2 linked regions of the Schizosaccharomyces pombe genome follow. The protein of the gene in region 2 interacts with the protein of the main gene of each other region in a pairwise test. Each region holds a gene or a part of one and is shown on either strand. Other genes may lie near its edges.

What was found. The genes of interacting proteins can lie anywhere in the genome.
Region 1: the proteins of pth2 (region 2) and get3 interact in a two-hybrid assay, tested with the Schizosaccharomyces pombe proteins (2 studies listed by BioGRID).

What each region holds. Positions count from the first base shown.
Region 1 is NC_003424.3:3,634,958-3,638,890, forward strand, and holds get3 (GET complex ATPase subunit Get3), read left to right. Parts: upstream 1-2,052; 5' UTR 2,053-2,144; coding exon 2,145-3,134; 3' UTR 3,135-3,433; downstream 3,434-3,933. Other genes in the region: Cu transporter complex subunit Ctr5, read left to right, coding at 808-1,329; ESCRT III complex subunit Vps32, read right to left, coding at 3,814-3,933. UniProt on the Schizosaccharomyces pombe protein: ATPase required for the post-translational delivery of tail-anchored (TA) proteins to the endoplasmic reticulum. Recognizes and selectively binds the transmembrane domain of TA proteins in the cytosol.
Region 2 is NC_003424.3:2,455,764-2,462,909, reverse strand, and holds pth2 (aminoacyl-tRNA hydrolase), read left to right. Parts: upstream 1-1,914; 5' UTR 1,915-1,952; coding exon 1,953-2,570; 3' UTR 2,571-2,721; downstream 2,722-7,146. Other genes in the region: mRNA-decapping complex catalytic subunit Dcp2, read left to right, coding at 1-184; U1 snRNP-associated protein Usp101, read left to right, coding at 776-1,561; trp2 (tryptophan synthase), read left to right, coding at 3,159-5,252.

The sequences.
Region 1 (3,933 bases), 1.2 Mb from region 2:
AATGCTCCTGTAGTGCTTTAATCAAAAGAAGAATCTTAATTGTTATTGTATTCATACAAATCTTACTTTACTTTTATATCTATTTACAACGTACGAAAATCGTATTTGAATATCAATTTAGGCAAACCTCATTTGTTTATTTTTTTTGGAGTTTCTTGTAACTCTTAATGTATACGATAACATCACCGGGATTAAAATTTACATATTCATATTCATCCAAATTCCTTTGTATGTTTGATTTAATTAATTAATTAATTTTGCTTTTTTTTTTTATTTTTATATTCTTTTCGATTAACGCGACCCGCCGCAATACCTTAATCACCATTTGGCGGGAATTTTGCTGAGCGATTATAGCTGGTAGTTTTTACCCAAAGGAGAAAAAGTCGCATATCAGTAGATGATGCTTTTAAACTGCTATAAAAGGTAATCCTACCCCCGTTCACTTTGAAGCGATATTTGAGCGTTCAGCTTAATTGAACATTCAGGACTTGAAAAAAACCTGTAGTGATCATTCTAATTCAAGTGTATAGGTAGCAGTAAGAAGTTGCTAAATTATACATTTTGTCTGTCTGCGAAAAAGGCCCAGCTCATAGAGAGATATTTCGCTTAAAGGTGGTAAAACTAGTGTTATTAACTTACTTTCAACAAAAGACATTTGTTTTCGCATTGTTCCGGTTATACTTGTTATTTTAGTTTAAGACGCTTTCCATTGAGTGTCTTCTTTTCTTTCTTTTTATCGGCTCTTATCCTTTATTGACAGATACCTAAGATACTTCTCAATATTTGGCTAACGCTTCTTGCAACAAAATGAGCTTAAGTAAGATGAGTATGAGTGGCATGAGTGGCATGGGTATGGGTAGCTCCAGTAACTCGAGTGCTGCGACATGTCGCATGAGTATGCTATGGAATTGGTATATACATGACTCGTGTTTCCTGGCTAAATCCTGGCATATCAACACTGGAAACAAATTCGCCGGTAGTATTATTGGAATTTTTTTCTTCGCCGTCGCTATTGAAGGTTTGTCCCTCGTTCAAAGAATGTTTGATCGCTGGATTGTTGCTCACTCTAATGGCAAAACTTTAAGTGGACCTCTGCGTATCTTCTTTCCAAGTTCCACTGTGCATGTTACTGTCTGGCAACAACTAATACGAGCAGCCATGTATTCATCGTTTTACTTGTCCGCTACCATCCTCATGTTGATTGTAATGTCGTTTAACGGATATGCCATTTTGTTCGGTTTCGTAGGTGCTTGGATAGGATTTTTCCTTTTCGCGAGTGATACTTATGGAACCCCATCCACTGGTACTGGATGCTGCGAATCAAGATAGTCATATTTAATTGTACAGGGGTATTCATAAGGATCCGATTTTAATGTACTATTAATACTTTTTACGATTGTTTTTGTTTGGTGTTGGGTTTCGATAGTGTGTTTTATGTTTTTCTTTGTTTGCTTATCAGGGATTATATTCAGACTTAGAAATAATAACTTTTTCTTTAATTCAGTTTAATATATCTCCTCTATCGGTATGCAAAAACTGGTAGTTTACTAAATATGTTGTTGATATGGATGCAAATTTATATGATGGTACAAAATAGTATATTCTCTGCTCAGTATGATTCAAAGTTGTTCCTTGATTTCTTGTGAGTGCTTTAGTCATCAACAAACATCTGTAGCTCTGATCCTTGATTTACGTTGAATGATTCCATGTAGTTCTTTTCTTTATAACGAATATGGTAATCGAGCTTCAGCAGGCCAAAACATATTATACGATTAGAAAATCCATTTAAAGGAATTTTTTTAATTATGAAATTTCAGCATACCGTATTTAGCATTCTACTAGCATGGCTTTACGAATCCTTGATAAAAAACTTACTTAATTGTTATATTGCTAGCGTATCAAAAATAGGAACAAAACATGCTATACACTATTAATTGTAGTTGCAATGTACAATTATTAAGTCTTTAATTAAATTTTTATCTCTGATCGTTGGGAACTGATCTGCCGCGTACTTAGGATCTTCATTTTCACTTGCAAACTGTCGTAACACCTATCCTCAGCATATCGCATCGTGCATCTGGTCAACGAGAGTCTATAAGAAGACTAGCTTCAGATTAAAAAAAAAAATTCTCTAATAAAGTAAAATGTCCTTCGACCCATTGCCTGGAACCTTAGAAAACCTTCTTGAGCAAACTTCCTTAAAATGGATTTTTGTAGGAGGAAAAGGCGGTGTAGGAAAAACAACTACGTCGTGTTCATTGGCCATTCAAATGTCAAAAGTTAGATCCTCTGTTCTACTTATCTCCACGGATCCTGCTCACAATCTTTCTGATGCCTTTGGCACGAAATTTGGAAAAGACGCTCGTAAGGTTCCTGGTTTTGATAATCTGAGTGCCATGGAGATCGATCCTAATTTATCCATTCAGGAAATGACAGAGCAAGCTGACCAACAAAATCCCAATAATCCTTTATCTGGAATGATGCAGGATTTGGCTTTTACAATACCAGGTATCGACGAGGCATTGGCATTCGCTGAAATCCTTAAGCAGATCAAATCTATGGAATTTGATTGTGTCATTTTCGATACCGCTCCTACTGGACATACGTTAAGATTTTTGAATTTTCCAACTGTTTTGGAAAAAGCTCTCGGCAAGCTTGGCGGTCTCTCCAGTAGATTTGGCCCTATGATTAACCAAATGGGTAGCATAATGGGTGTAAATGCCAATGAACAAGATCTATTTGGAAAGATGGAAAGCATGCGTGCTAATATTTCTGAAGTTAACAAGCAATTTAAGAATCCAGATCTTACTACTTTTGTGTGTGTATGTATTTCCGAGTTCCTTTCTCTTTATGAAACTGAAAGAATGATTCAAGAACTTACTAGTTATGAAATTGATACTCACAACATCGTTGTTAACCAACTTTTGCTTGATCCCAACACCACTTGTCCCCAGTGTATGGCTAGAAGAAAAATGCAACAAAAATATTTGGCGCAAATTGAAGAGCTCTATGAAGACTTTCATGTTGTCAAAGTACCGCAAGTTCCAGCTGAAGTTCGCGGTACTGAAGCTTTGAAGTCTTTCTCTGAGATGTTGGTCAAGCCTTACGTTTATCCTACTTCTGGCAAAGAATAATGTATTTTTTCAATCTTATCCACTGCTGTTAATAAGGGTGTCAAAAGCCTCTAAATGTATATTTTTTAACAAATTGATTGACAGCTTGAATATGCATATTAGAATGGCTGTTTCTAAGTTTTTACATTACTTTTATTTTGTTGAAGAATTCTTATCGTTTCCTCAGTTGAGCTTGACTATTTGCCAAAGCAAATAAACCAAAAGCGCTAGGTTGATACACTGTTTAATGATTAAACACAACAGGATTCTGAGCACACTGTTTAGATTAATATTAATCAATTTGACAAGATATGAACGTGTCTGGAATAACTCAAAACATTAAAAAGTTAACTTGAACTAACAGTCATTTGATACAGTTGTTTTAGTAGAATGAAGAAGACGTAATATGTAAAATTCTTCAGCTAGTTTTTCCGTAGATTATTTAACTACACCAATTATTAAAATACAATGAAAAAACACACATCCGAACATGAGGACGGAGACCTATAAGTTATAGTCTAATAATGGTATTGTACATAAAATTTGTATTTAGGCTTCCATGATGACTCATAACAAGGAAAACATAGAATACTAACAACTGACAAATTAAATAATTCCATAAGTTATAACAGAAACCTTAGAAGATGACTTTAACATATTGAGAAAATAATAAAAATACCGAGCAAGCGTACTGGTCACTTTAAAGAGAGAATTCAGCCTGTAGTTTTCGAAGTTCTTCTTCTTCATCCAATTCTTGAGGCTTTGAAATAGAAGGGAGGTCTTTGACTTGAGACGGGACAGCAGGAACAGCAGGAGTGTG
Region 2 (7,146 bases):
GAATTCGGAAACCAACAAAAACCATGTTGATATGAGTCCTGGTTTCGTTAAGATTTTAAAACGTTCGCCTTTGGCAGATCAAAAAAAGGAAGATACCCAGGAATCCGATTTCAAAGGGTCTGATGATCATTTTCTGTCATATTTACAATCTGTCGTGTCTTCTAACTCCAATGGTCTTCATTAATTTGTTATTCTAATTGGCATTGCATTAGAAACTAATGAACGACTGTGTAATACACATATGGTATTCTCTTCTAAAGTTATTCCTTTAATGTTTATTTTTCGTTTTACATTCAAATTGTTAATGAATATCAAGACTACTGACTTTAAATGAGACTTAGATGTTAATGTTGAACACTGAGTTAATCTAGTGGCTCTTTTCATTTTTTTCTATCACTTTTTGTTGAGAATAACGGTCTACTCAATGTTCTGTTGTTGTCGTTTTAATCATGCATGAATTCAACGTTGAAATAAGGATTTCCCTAACTTTTATTAGCTGGTGAGGCTTTTCGTCCTTTAAAATTATGAGGTTTCCTTTTGATGCAGCCCATGCGTGTACTAGGTTTATTCATAGGGTAAATACATATTTGCTTCCCTTTTATGTCAAATAAATATGACTATATAATTTGCTTACATATTTTAATAATAAGCGAAAAAATTGTACTGTACGCCCCCACATAGCACTTATTATACAGGCAATATCGCTTTACTGGGATATACCCTACACAGCATTGCACCCACACACTTCTAAATAAAAAAAAACAATTCATATAGAATGGCTGAAAAATTACCGGCTCCTCTACTTGCATTGTTTGCTCCACGTCCCCCATTGAGGTATCTGCCTCCTATGGATGTGCCTCCTGAGAAACGTTCAACACCTCGCGTTTCAGGCATAGCAAAATATCTGAAATATGCGCAGTCTCACGATCAACAATATCACCCGACTGAAAGCTTGGAAGAAAAGCGTTTGCGTCTTAGAGACGAGAAACAAAAACAGCAACGAGAAAGATTACGGTCCATGATTAAGGTATGGGATCCTGATCACGATCGCCATGTCATTGGAGATCCATATAAAACTATGTTTCTTTCTCGGTTAAGCTATGATACCAAGGAAAGCGATATTGAACGAGAATTTACTCGATATGGGCCTATCGAGCGCATACGAGTTGTTCGTAATAAAGTTACAGGAAAATCAATGGGATATGCATTTGTTGTGTTTGAAAGGGAACGAGATTTAAAAGTTGCTTACAAAGCATCAGCTGGTTTGATGCTAAATGGAAGGCGGATAGTGGTCGATGTCGAAAGAGGTAGAACTGTAAAAGGATGGCTACCGCGTAAGTTAGGTGGTGGACTTGGCGGGCGACATTATACAAAAGAAAGGCCGCGACGGGAACGGGGATCCCGATTTCGTGGCGACTCTGGATTTCGTGGTGGCTATCGAGGAGGATTTCGAAAATCTTCTGGAGGAGGGTCAAGATTTGGTCGTGGTCCTACTCGCTCCTCTCACTCTTCAGACTATGGAGGAAGAGATAGTTCCCCTAAGCGTCGTCGCTACAATTGATGTTAGAAAGTCTCACTTCAATGTTAACGCTAAACATAATTTTTTGTATACTCTTGATTACTCATTCTTTCTTCGAGTTATCATGTTAAAATGGAGAAGCGCATAGAAGATTGGAGACGCCTAAATTTAAATAAGTACCATGAGTTGGCTTCTGGTCAGTCAAACTTTTCAAACACATATATGAGATATCCTTCTTCGTTCTTTTAATGAAATTTAATATTAATTTCTCTGAATGCATCATTATTAATTTTGTGAAACAAATTAATAGTTTTGAGAGGAGTATGTTGCGCTTCACTACATCAATTTAATGATGTTGCCGGTATATATTATGTTTCTTAGCTCTTAAGTTTCGCACACATAATTATTTTGACATTATAATTTCATAGTAGTTATGAAAGTACCTTTCGTAAATTTCATGATCTCCTCCTTTCCTGCAGCAGTACTTGTCGGCGCTGTAGTGGGGTTTATGATCGGACGCAAATACAGTGTAGCAGATGCATCAAGAGGTTATAGTTCCAAAAATGCCAACAAAGCATCTAACCCAGAAAAAGAAAGTCCTGTTTCTGTTAGCAATGATGAAGACAGCGAGTCCGAAACTGAACTTTTAGATATGCTGAAAGGAAACAGCAGTTTGGCTGCGCTTGCATTGGCGGAAGGACAAACTAAAATGGTATTGGTCGTTAGGACGGATTTAGGCATGACCAAAGGAAAAATAGCAGCTCAATGTGCGCATGCAGCCTTAGCCTGCTACAAAATCGCATCTGCGGTGGACCCCGATTTGGTACGTATATGGGAAAATGCTGGACAGGCTAAAATTACTCTTCAAGCTCAAACCGAAGAGACGTTGGAATTACTGCAAGCCCAAGCAATGTCTCTAGGGCTATGTGCCAGGGTTATACACGATGCTGGTCGCACCCAGATTGCATCTGGTTCTGCTACAGTCTTGGGCATTGGTCCTGGGCCTGTCAGCGTAATCAATGAGGTTACAGGATCTTTAAAATTATTCTGAGAAATCTAAAAAATGTACCAAAAGGTGATATTTAATGCAACAAAATATGACAAACTTTTTTGATGGATTGCTATGTAACGCCAATACTCTTATTTTTCGACAGGCGAATTGTCTGTGCAATCAGCTTCCGTTCTGTAAAAACTGTATATATTTCTAATAACAATGAAAGTCAGCAACCCCAATTCTCATTTACTTACATTTGATTAATCTAGACATTGATGTCTCAGGTTGATTCCGTTCATTCATAACAAAATTTAGTATCAACTAGGCATATACTTTTATATTAGTAGTAAACAGCTTACATTCAAGTGAAGTTAATGGTGAAGTCGAAATTTAACTTTTTAGTTTAACATCCATCCACCTGAAGGTAATTTGCCCATGAACTTACGAAATTTGGTTCAATCTGCACCACAATTGCAGGCCTTAACGATTTTATAATGTTTTGAAACTTAATTTAGTTATCTATAAAATTATTTGACTTATCAATATGGTCATCTTCGTTTGAAATCTTAACGATCTATTCTGTCGGTCCCTCCAATCTCTGTTCCACCGCCAATATTTTTTTGACTATCGCAAAACTCATGAAAAATGACAGAGCAGATTAAAAAAACGTTTCTCAAAGCAAAAGAAGAAAACAAAAATGTTTTAGTGACATTTGTCACTTGCGGTTTTCCTAATGTTGATGAAACTATCAAAATTATGCAAGGTTTGCAAAATGGAGGAGCAGGAATAATTGAGCTTGGTATTCCTTTTTCTGATGCCGTCGCTGATGGTCCTACAATTTGCAAGGGAAACGAAATTGCTTTGAAGAATAATATTACTTTAGAAAAAGTATTTGAAACTGTAAAGCTCGCTCGTGATGCAGGTGTAACTATCCCTATAATTTTGATGGGTTACTACAATCCTATTTTCAGTTATGGAGATGCCAAAACTATTCAAAAGGCAAAGGAGGTTGGCGCTAATGGTTTCATCATCGTTGACCTTCCTCCAGAGGAGGCTGTCGGCTTTAGAGAAGAATGTAAAAAGCAAGGTGTTAGTTTCGTTCCTCTTGTTGCTCCTTCTACTACGGACAGGCGTATGGAGCTCTTGGCCTCTGTGGCTGACTCCTTTATTTACGTTGTTTCTCGTATGGGTAGTACAGGATCATCTGCTACCGGAGTAATCAATACTGCTTTGCCTCAGCTCTGTCAGCGTGTTCGTAAATTTGCTGGAGATACCCCTCTAGCAGTTGGTTTTGGTGTTAACACCAGTGAACATTTCCACCAAGTTGGCAGCGTGTCAGATGGTGTTGTAGTTGGAAGCAAAATTATCGATTTGATTTTGAAGGCAGAGCCTGGCACTGCTGCTACCGTGGTTGAGGAATATTGTAAATATCTTACTAAAGAAGACCCATCCGCACCTGTACCTAAACAGTTTCAATCCGGTGGTTCTGTTGCTACTGCCCCCCCTGCTGCTGTGGTCGAACCTATCAACGAAATGTATCTTCCTCAAAAATATGGCATGTTTGGTGGTATGTATGTTCCAGAAGCATTAACCCAGTGCTTAGTTGAACTTGAAAGTGTATTTTATAAGGCTTTGCATGATGAAAAGTTTTGGGAAGAATTTCGTTCTTATTATGAGTATATGGGTCGTCCAAGTGCCCTCGATTATGCTAAGCGTTTAACTGAGTATTGTGGTGGTGCCCATATTTGGTTGAAGCGTGAAGACTTGAATCATGGTGGTTCACACAAAATTAACAACTGTATTGGGCAAATTCTTCTTGCCAAACGTTTAGGAAAAAACCGTATCATTGCTGAAACTGGTGCTGGTCAGCATGGAGTTGCTACTGCTATCTGTGCCGCTAAATTTGGTATGAAATGTACTATCTACATGGGTGCAGAAGATTGTCGTCGTCAAGCACTCAACGTTTTTCGCATCCGTCTTTTGGGAGCTGAAGTCGTTCCGGTTACTTCAGGTACACAGACCCTTCGTGATGCTGTTAACGAAGCTTTGAAGGCGTGGGTCGAACAAATAGACACCACTCATTATTTAATTGGATCTGCAATTGGCCCTCATCCATTCCCTACCATTGTTAAAACTTTCCAAAGTGTCATTGGCGAGGAAACGAAAGCGCAAATGCAAGAGAAGCGTAAAAAACTTCCTGATGCAGTTGTTGCTTGTGTTGGTGGTGGATCCAATTCGATTGGAATGTTTTCTCCCTTCAAAGCCGATAAAAGTGTAATGATGTTGGGTTGTGAAGCTGGTGGTGATGGTGTAGATACCCCCAAACATAGTGCTACATTGACTATGGGAAAAGTTGGTGTATTTCATGGAGTTCGAACATATGTTCTGCAACGCGAAGATGGACAAATTCAAGATACTCACTCTATATCTGCTGGATTGGATTATCCAGGTGTGGGACCCGAATTATCTGAACTTAAATATACCAATCGCGCAGAGTTTATCGCTGTCACTGATGCTCAATGTTTAGAAGGATTCCGCGCTCTATGTCATCTTGAAGGTATCATTCCCGCTTTGGAATCTTCTCATGCTGTGTATGGTGGAATGGAGCTTGCTAAAAAGTTACCTAAAGATAAGGATATTGTGATCACCATTTCAGGTCGTGGTGACAAGGATGTTCAAAGCGTAGCTGAACAACTTCCTATTTTAGGTCCTAAAATTGGATGGGACCTTCGCTTTTAAGCAATGTTCTACTCACGATTTTCTGATTTATATTAAGGCTCCGTAAACTTAAGCGGAGTTGCGATCTATAGATATACAAGCATCGCATGCGATTAAACTTTTTTATACCAAAACATATGTGTATTTCTTTTTATCTATAAATATCATTTCAATTTTGCTTCTACTATTTACTAGCCTTAAATAGCGTTGTAGTCATGTAATAACCTGTACATAATACTGTACTTATTTACCTAATAAAGGTTTTCTGTGGATTTAATTTCTTAGGCTAATTTTTCAAAGGCTTAAGAGAATTATGTGTATGCTGAAGAAGAACATTCAACAAAGCGGTTTTCTTTAGTCTATGATTTTGAGAATCATGTCCTATTTACACTACAATGCAAGTGCAAAAAATGTTTTAAAACAATTTATCAGCACGAGCAAGATGTCGTAGTATTTTCAATTTATATGGTTTTGGCTTTTTAGAGTCGCGACATAGTCTATTAACATAAGCTTTAATCTTTGGTATATTAGCAAATCTTCCAGATTGAAGTTAGCAGTTTATGGAGAGAAAATAAAATTCTTTCTGTATATTCGCCTAATAAGACCACTCAAGTCTTTAGCACTGAATAATAAAAAGTGTCACAAATCTTTGAACTATGGTAAAACTCCCAATTACAATTACTTAAGTTCGCACTCCTAAAACAGCATTACCCGTAGAATAAATTGAAAAAAAAGTATAAAATCAAACAAGTGGTACAGATCAAATTTTTAAAAATTTAGTAATGTTTCTATGTTTTTATATTACAATATTCAGATAGGTAGTATTCTCGCTTACAGTTTAGACAGTAAATGTAACATTAGTGTTTCTCCACAATTCCCCACATAGTTAATAGTAAAGTTGAGGACAAAATTATGATTTATCTATATATTCTATGAATTACATATGACCCTAGATGTACCCATTCGACAAAAGTATCCTTCAAATAATAGGTCTTAAAAACAAAGACTTGCTCATTAGAAGCAATCGATCGTTCATTCACTTTACTAAAGGATTTACCAATATGTATTGGGGGCGTCGTTTCTAAGGCAAGGTAGTACGTTAGAGTTCGTAATATAATTGTTCGGTTAGTTAAGTGAAGAGCGATATGTGAATTAAAACCACCACATCAACCATATAAAAACTACATTATTTATGAAACCATAAGCATTCTGTTTAATTCATTAAATTAGGACAGAAATTAATTAGGCTCTTGCAAGGATCAAATTGGAGTGAAATTGCATCTCTTTACGATATTTCAAGTTGTGTTTTATTGCATTAGATTTAGAGGAGCAATCAGCAACGATCTATTAGCAGTGAACGTTAACGAATATCTCAATTACATTCGGATCTTTAATTATTTGGTTTATTTATTTTTTTAATAACAAAAAAGGGAAAGAAAAATTGGGGAAAGAGAAGGGAATAATTATATTGTTAATTTTGCAATATTTTTTATCATTTAATTAGCAAACTTTTATTATTTAATTTTTAGGCAAATTTGACAACTCATCTCTTCATTTAGTCAATTTTTATTTGTTTTGACATTTGTGAGATATCCAGGGATCGATAGCCTCTGTCTACAAAGGGTCGTGTCTCTTAGTTTTCGTCAATCAGTTTCTTTCAAGATCTAGAAGGCGTACTAATTATTTCTACTTGGAGACTTTAAAGCTTGGGTATTGCTTGTCCACTGTGCTTATGTATCTGAACATAGCTACAATCTCTGCTACAAAAGCTAAAGAGAGAAGTCCCCTCCAAGAAGGGATCAAATTTATTTCGTTAGGGTTTTCTTCTGGTCAAACTTTTTTTTGGATAGGATAAGTTTTTAATTACAATAAATTCAGCGGCTGGGGTTTCATAAGTGCCCCATATTTCGAGGGT